Linked DNA regions of Saccharomyces cerevisiae S288C. The gene in region 2 interacts genetically with the main gene of each other region. Each region holds a gene or a part of one and is shown on either strand. Other genes may lie near its edges.

Region 1 (3,760 bases), on a different chromosome or scaffold from region 2:
TATTATATGGATGGTAGCCATTATTACGTCTATTGTATCCACCGCGACCACCACGGCCGTTTCTTCTATGGTTTCCACCACTACGGTGATTGTAATCGCGGTCACGATCGTTACGATCACGATCACCGCGATCACGGTTGTAGCCATAACCGCTATTGTGGTCATCATTGTATTGTGATGGGCCCTTTGGACCATTAGGTAAATTCAATGGCGGTGAACCAGAGTCAGTGTTTGATGTATTACCAATAGTTTGGACGTCATTGGATTTATTATTATCGGAATCAGAAGGTGCTGGGGAACCTTGAGTGGCATTTGAATCTTGCTGTGGTTGGTTTAAAGTCATTGCATTAGGTGGCATGGCAAACCCTGGCATCATCATTGCCATTTGCTGCATTTGTTGTTGGTACATTTGAGTATAATCCATACCAGTTTGCTTTTGCATTTGTTGGTAATATTCTTGCATCTTTTGATAGTAATCTGTCATTGCTTGCGGATTCATCATTGGGTTGTAACCGCCCATCATAGGGTTTTGATACATTTGGTTGAAATCGCCTTGGTTACCGAAGTTACCGCCACGACGATTCATGTTGTTTCCACCATTGTTACCACCATTGTTTGATGATTTTTGTTGCATATGTCTTGGCTCAGCTCTCTTGATTTCGATCTTGCGATCTTTGAAATCGATGAATTTATTCTGACAAACTCTGTCAACGGCGTCAGCGGAGTCATACGTCACAAAACCAAAACCTCTTGATTGACCGGTATCCTTATCTAACATCAGTTGCGCATCGATAATCGTACCCCACTGAGAAAAAAATTCTTCAAATTCCTTTGGTCTCACATCAGGACCAATACCACCAACAAAGATTTTACCGGTTTTATCTTGCTCGTCTCTTGGGATAGCTCTTTTTGGGTCGATAACTTTACCATCGAGGATATGTTGTGTCTTTACCACTTCATCAACACTAGAAGGTTTTTCAAAAGATAAGAAACCGAACCCTCTAGATCTACCTGTTGCAGGGTCTTTCATGATTTTCAAATCAGTGACGGTACCATACTTACCAAAATATTCGCGAAGATTATCTTCCGTAGTGTCCCAATTCAGACCACCAATGAACATCTTGCAACTTTCTTTAGACAAATCCGCTTTCGAACGTTCCTCTTTGGTTTGAGTTACTTGCTGTTGAGGTGGTGATTGAGAAGATGGTTGCTGGAATTGTGACATGGTTTGTTGAAGTTGTTCCCAAGGTAAGCCAGAAGGTCCTGCAGAACTAGCGTTGGCATTGGCATTTGCTGATGTAGCGCTTTCTTGTTTTTTTTCATTCTTAGTGTCTTCATTGGAACCTTCCTTGTCATTCGCAGTGCCATCTTGCTTACTAGAAGATGTGTCTTGGTTACTATTATTACTACTACTGTTGTTACTATTTGGATTATTTAGTTTGTTCAAGCTAGAAGATAATGCTTGTAGTGCGGCTAGTTGATCTAATTGCGAGGTACCACTGCCAGCCTTATTTTGTTCTTCTTCTTTTTTGACTTCTTCAGTAGTGGTAGGCTTATCATCGCCGTAGATGTCGTTGAAATCTTCTTCGTCAGAGCTCATTGCTTATTTAACTTATTCTCTATTTTCTCAGACTTGTGTATACTGCTAAAGTTCTTTATAAATAAAATATTTGCGTCTTTTATGAAAAGATTGTAATATAAACAGTAATATTAATACAGAATAAAAAAGGGCCAATTGTTTGTATTATGCACGCTTTTTCAATTTCTTGTTTATTGAGTATACCTTTTCTGTCCGTATTTTTTCTTTTTGTTTCTTTCGCAAAAAAGGTTAGAAAGAAATCTAGTAAGGTATGAGATTTTAGTTATTAAACACTAAAAAGTAAAAGATACACGTAAAAAATTTATAACAGTATATTGTACTAATACTTGACTATCTGCAAAATTAAATAACTAGTCGAAACTGTTCAATCCTTTGTTTTTAATTACAGTGGCGGAAAGGAGAGAGCGGAAGAAAATTTAAGAGCGCCTGGGCGTGTGGAAAGCATGCGCCTTTTATACTTTTTTTGCTTTGTCCAACAAGAAATCTCGGCGCTGCTCGTAGGGAGGGGCTGCAAGAAAAAAAATAAATAAAAAAAAGAAAGTATTTCCGGGTAAGATTAAAAATGCATTCGATTTAGCCGCCCAGTATTTCGCAAGATCTTCCAAGGTTATAGATGTTTAGAAGAGAAAGAAGTTGGGATCCTTAAGAGCATGTTTCTTTTTCCACGCATCTACATTAGGATTTACTCTTTGTTTTTCAACTTCTGCGCAAGATCTTCAAGAACAAATCGAAGAGATAAAAAAATTGATATTTATAGTCAATAGGTTTTCGATAGCATGACCCTCCGGACTTTTGATGGATAGATAAAGCGAAATTTAGAGGGTTTTTGATCTTCTTCCTTGCAGCAACCTATATTTCTTAGTATTTTGTATATCAATAGCCTCCATAATGTTATCTATAGCTATTAGTACTTTAAGAGACTTTTATTACCCGTATTTTGGATTCTTTTCCGAAGAAAAAAGAAATGTTTACGTTGTGGGAAAAGTGAAAAAAATCGATGATTATGGGCATCGAGGTCTTAATACCCGTAATATGGAGATGAAATAGCATAACTAAACACATTGTATATAAGGTAAAAACGGCAGCATGAAGAAATATCTGCTGTATATGGTACAAGTTCATTTGAACTTTAGAAGAGCAGAACTGGAATCGTTAGCAGACCTATATAATCTTTCCATAGACTTTTCGCAGTACGATGCCAATAGCCCTTTCTTTATTGTAGAGCTGGAAAATGATCAGCAAGCAAAGGATTGGATTAAGAGGTCTATTTTAACCAGAGGTATTTATGAGTATTGGGGGCAGGGTACAACGCTCGATGAGCTGCATAAAGATATTCAGCGTCAGTCTAACTTTGAACAGGATCTGCAATTGAAATTCAAACATTCCACTTTTAAGTTCGAATTCGAATGCTATAAAGGCAACAGTAAAGCTAAGAGGGTAGAGCAGATTGAAACTTTCCGTTACCTTGGCTTTGAAGGAAAGATTGATATGAAACATCCTCAAGAGGTTTTCACTGTTATAGAAGAGTACACACCAATATCGGAAAACGTTGGTGGTAAGACCCCCACCAGGATTTATTTTGGTAGGCAGGTTCAGATGAGCAATAGGAGTGCCATGGAGAAATATGATTTGAAGAAAAGACCTTATAAAGGTACAACTAGCTTCGAAGCAGAATTATCGTTGGTCAGCGCCAATATAGCTCAAGTGAAACCGGGAACTATAATGTACGACCCGTTTGCAGGTACAGGATCCTTTTTGGTAGCTGGTGGGCATTTTGGTTCTTTAGTGATTGGTTCGGATATAGATGGCAGAATGATTCGTGGTAAGGGTGCTCAAGTGAACATTTCGGCCAACTTCAAAAAATATGGCGAGAGTTCTCAATTCCTCGACGTGTTGACCATGGACTTTACAAATAACGCATTAAGAAACAATCTTGTCATTGATACTATTTTGTGTGATCCTCCATATGGTATCAGAGAAAGCATAAAAGTCCTAGGTGCTAAGGATCCAGAAAGATTTCTAGGCAAGGAAGATATGGAAATTGACGGTGAAAAGGCATATTTGCGTCGCGATTATATTCCAACCAAAAAACCGTATGCTCTAGATTCATTACTGGATGATCTTTTACAATACTCTTCCGAAAGATTACCGATTGGCGGA
Region 2 (3,760 bases):
TTCAAACTGAGTCAAAGCCATTTTACTCCCTGGTCTTTCATCAGTTATATTAGTTTTCTGTAATTCGTTATTCTACACCATGACATAACTTACTGGTGACTAAATGAGAAAAGCAAAGTCCCTTTCTCTTGCTTGTTATTTATTTTTGAACCCTTTACACTATTTGTCTTTTTTTCATCACCCAATCGAAAAGTTGAAAGTATTTTTCAAGCATTGAAAGGGTAGAGGAGATTAACAAAACATAAATATTTTGCAAAACAAAACCAATTTCAAATAAATGTATAGAATAACACCAGTAATTAAGAGGTGGTGTCTTACACTCACCATGTCATGATAATATCAATTGGCAAAATATATTAGTTAGTTTTTACACAATATCAATAAATTTAACTTATACAGTCTAAAATTATTACTATTCTACCTTAGGCTTCTTCGAAGGCCTTTCTTCGTCGCTACCCCCCTCAGCATCACTTAAAGCCGCATCTGAATCAAACTCTTCTGCAACTTCGTCTGCGTCATTATCAGAGCTGACCTGAAAATCCTCATCTACTGATTCATCATCTTCACCAGCGGAACCCATATTAATATCCTCTTCGTCACTGTCTGAACCTAAAGCGGTTTGTAACCTTTCTTGTACCTCTCTATCTTCATTCTTCACCCTTAGGTTTTTAGACTTTAGGAATTGTTCCAATAATTGCTGCTCTTCCTTACTGATGTTGGCAAAAGTGGTAGAACCTCTATTTGAACGCAGTACCACTTCCAAATCAAACGTCCTCGATGACGTAGAAGTTTGTCCTGCTCTTGAAATGTTTACCATGCTAACATCACTGAATGGTATGTACAAAGTTGGCTTAGTTAAAAAGAAGAAAGCGTTATCTAATGGATACAAATAACCTTCGTTTGCTTTGAAAGAACATGAAACTGCACACTGATCATATTTGGATTTATATTCTCCAGGAACAATGACTCTACGGTCAGTCAGACCTTTTAATACATGACTTAAAACTATATGAGTTTTAGCATCATATTGTTTTTTCAATTTATCCTTATAATTTTCCTCATAATCTTCATCTTCTAGATTCAATTGCACTTCTGTTTCCTCATCTTTCTGAAATTGTAAGACAAGAAAGGGGTAGGTGGTCTGTCCTTGACGTAAAGGAGGTTCAATTGCCAAAACCAATAAGTGATGGATATCATCTGCCTTTGGTAACGAAACAATTCTTTGTATTTGACGATGTTGCAATTTGTATTCATAGGTCTTACCCCTGAGTCTAATGGAGTTCTTGTAAATATCGATATCATAACGACCTCTTGGCGTGGTAAAAAAGACGTCTTGGAAGGAAACTATTGCATCACCAGCGACTTCCCCGATGTCTGCCTTTTCCTTTAGTTCTTCATAGAATGCTTCTGCCATACTCTTTTCCTCTACTGCCATTTGTACATCTTCTCCTTCAGCACCATCTTCTTTCTTTGGTACGACCTCGTTGCTTGACTCTTCCTTTTTGGTCATGTTTTCATCGACGTTTGTTTGAATAACACCAGGAATATAGAACCTCATCTCTACCAATTCGTCACCGGCTGGTTGGTACTCTTCATCTTGAATATTAAATTCTATTCCTACTTCATTTTTAGAGGTCAAATTTGTATTATTTATTCTAGCATAAGGAATTTCAAAAGTTGGTTTACCATTTAAAGCAAAAACCATTTCATTCCTGGCAAGGTCTGTCTTACCCCAGTTCCAACCACGTAAGGAATGTTCTCTTTGCTCTACCTGAATATTAAAACGGCGATGGAAATCATTCTTGATTAAGTTATAGTCATCCTGAGAAAATCCATCTAGTTGGATAACACCTTGATTTTTGGTATTTATCTTCAAGTCGTAACCCCTGCAGCCCCTACTCCATTGGACGGTAGATAATTCTGTGGCTGGTAATAAAAATGGTTTTCTTGCCTGATTTGCTGCAGAGCCACCACTGGTACTAATTTTCCACCCTAACCCAGAATCAGCAATACGGAATCTACCGCTAAATTTAGATTGGTTCAAGTAAATTCTATCAAAGTCGGTACTCATAATTCTTGTTCAACAATACTAGATTGTTCCTTCACTTGTTAACGGTATTTCCTTCTTGTTCTTACCACCGATTCAACATCTAGCTACTCTCATACTATGTATATCTCTGACACTCGCGTTAACATTTCACCAGTTTAACGATTCGTTTCGCGTTGAACCGGGTTATACAATCGTTCTTCGCGATGATAATAACAATAACTCCAAGAAAAGTAAGCTTTTTCTATATATATATATCATAAGTATCTTGATATGTATTCGTGAGCCAAGTACTTACAAGGCGCTTTGAACCCCCTTCAAAAACTCACATAGGCCTACTGCACCAGGATCTTCTACTTGAGATGAATCGCCGACATACGAAGCTCTGCCAAATTTGGCCTCGAATGTAGCAGTGGATTTAGCACCTTCCTCTGCAGCTTTTACCGCCTTATTGAAATCCTTAGATGCAGTAAATTCTTTAACGAATGGTTCTAAAGCATCAATCATGGTGGATGATCCCTTCCTTGCCTTTGTATATTTGTATAAAGTATCCAATGCAATTCCGAGTGACTTAGCCACAATTTCCTTAGTGACGGGTTCATCCTTTGATTTACAAACCTGAATTAATCCGTGTGAAAAACCCGACAAAAGAATAGAATATAAACCACCAGAAGTACCTCCCATTGAGCCTTCAATGAAATCTGAAATTTGGGCAACCGCCTGAGATAATGAGTCCTTCGACAGCTTGTCAAGGTTTTCGGTGATGCCTTTAACTCCTGCCACTAAAGTGTAACCACAATCACCATCACCAACTTGATTGTCTAGTTCCGTAATGTGCGGTTCGCTCTTGATAACTTGTTCAGCACCACTCTTCATCCACTCAGCAAACTTGTCAAAGTCATAGGTACCGACGGCCTTTGCTGTTACTTCATTATGTAACAAGTCATCGTTAACAGATGGGGCAGAAGTCTTTTCAAAATCTGCAATTGGCCAGCCCGGTGCGTTCGTAAATGCGTTCAACAAGTCTAGTACTGATTTGATCTCCTCAAAATCAGATTGCAAAGCCTTTGTAGCCTTAGTGGCGTTTAGTAATGTGATACTGAACCCATTACCATTGAAGGAGGTCATCAATGTGCCAGCAATTGTTTGAACCGGGGTTATGTTGTAATTTTCCTTTAAGAAATCCGTAGTTTTGGAAGTGATAGAACTAATAACAAAATTAGAAACACCGCCGAGATTGTTAACTAACAAGACAACTTCATCATCTTCATCAAACTTTACAAAAGCTCTATCCTTATCGTTTGGATCCAATAGTTTTGGTAGCATATACTTGGAGATCAAGTCTTCGGTAGAAGGAATAGGGTCTAAAACTTTCACACCAGGTTCGTTATGAATACCCATACCCAATTCCATTTGTTTTTCGTTTAATTCACTTTCGAATTTCCTGCCAGGAACTTTACAATGGTCTAAAGAAGATCCAATGGTCACCAAATTGTCGTTGATAATTTTAGCCACTTTAGCTGTACCGTCTAAGCCATACTTACTAGAATATTCTTCTGCGAAGGCACCTACAATCTTATGAACCAAAACGGTACCTGCCAATGCTCTTCTACCAACCATACCACCCTTTTCTCTGCCAACTGCAACATCATCACCTATGACAGCAACGCGGCAGTTAATACCCAAGGCTCTTGCTCTCTCAGCGGACAGACC

Evidence for each region. Genes that interact genetically often act in the same process or in processes that back each other up.
Region 1: mutations in POB3 (region 2) and HRP1 together harm fitness more than expected from each alone (negative genetic interaction), as found in Saccharomyces cerevisiae (one large-scale study listed by BioGRID).

What each region holds. Positions count from the first base shown.
Region 1 is NC_001147.6:85,684-89,443, reverse strand, and holds the start of HRP1 (Hrp1p), read right to left. Parts: upstream 1,601-3,760; coding exon 1-1,600. Other genes in the region: TRM11 (tRNA (guanine-N2-)-methyltransferase), read left to right, coding at 2,687-3,760. UniProt on the Saccharomyces cerevisiae protein: RNA-binding protein, which is involved in the polyadenylation-dependent pre-mRNA 3'-end formation and cooperates with the cleavage factor CFIA complex and the cleavage and polyadenylation factor (CPF) complex.
Region 2 is NC_001145.3:133,811-137,570, reverse strand, and holds POB3 (FACT complex subunit POB3), read right to left. Parts: upstream 2,072-3,760; coding exon 413-2,071; downstream 1-412. Other genes in the region: ITT1 (RBR-type E3 ubiquitin transferase), read right to left, coding at 1-21; DAK1 (dihydroxyacetone kinase), read right to left, coding at 2,342-3,760. UniProt on the Saccharomyces cerevisiae protein: Component of the FACT complex, a general chromatin factor that acts to reorganize nucleosomes. The FACT complex is involved in multiple processes that require DNA as a template such as mRNA elongation, DNA replication and DNA repair.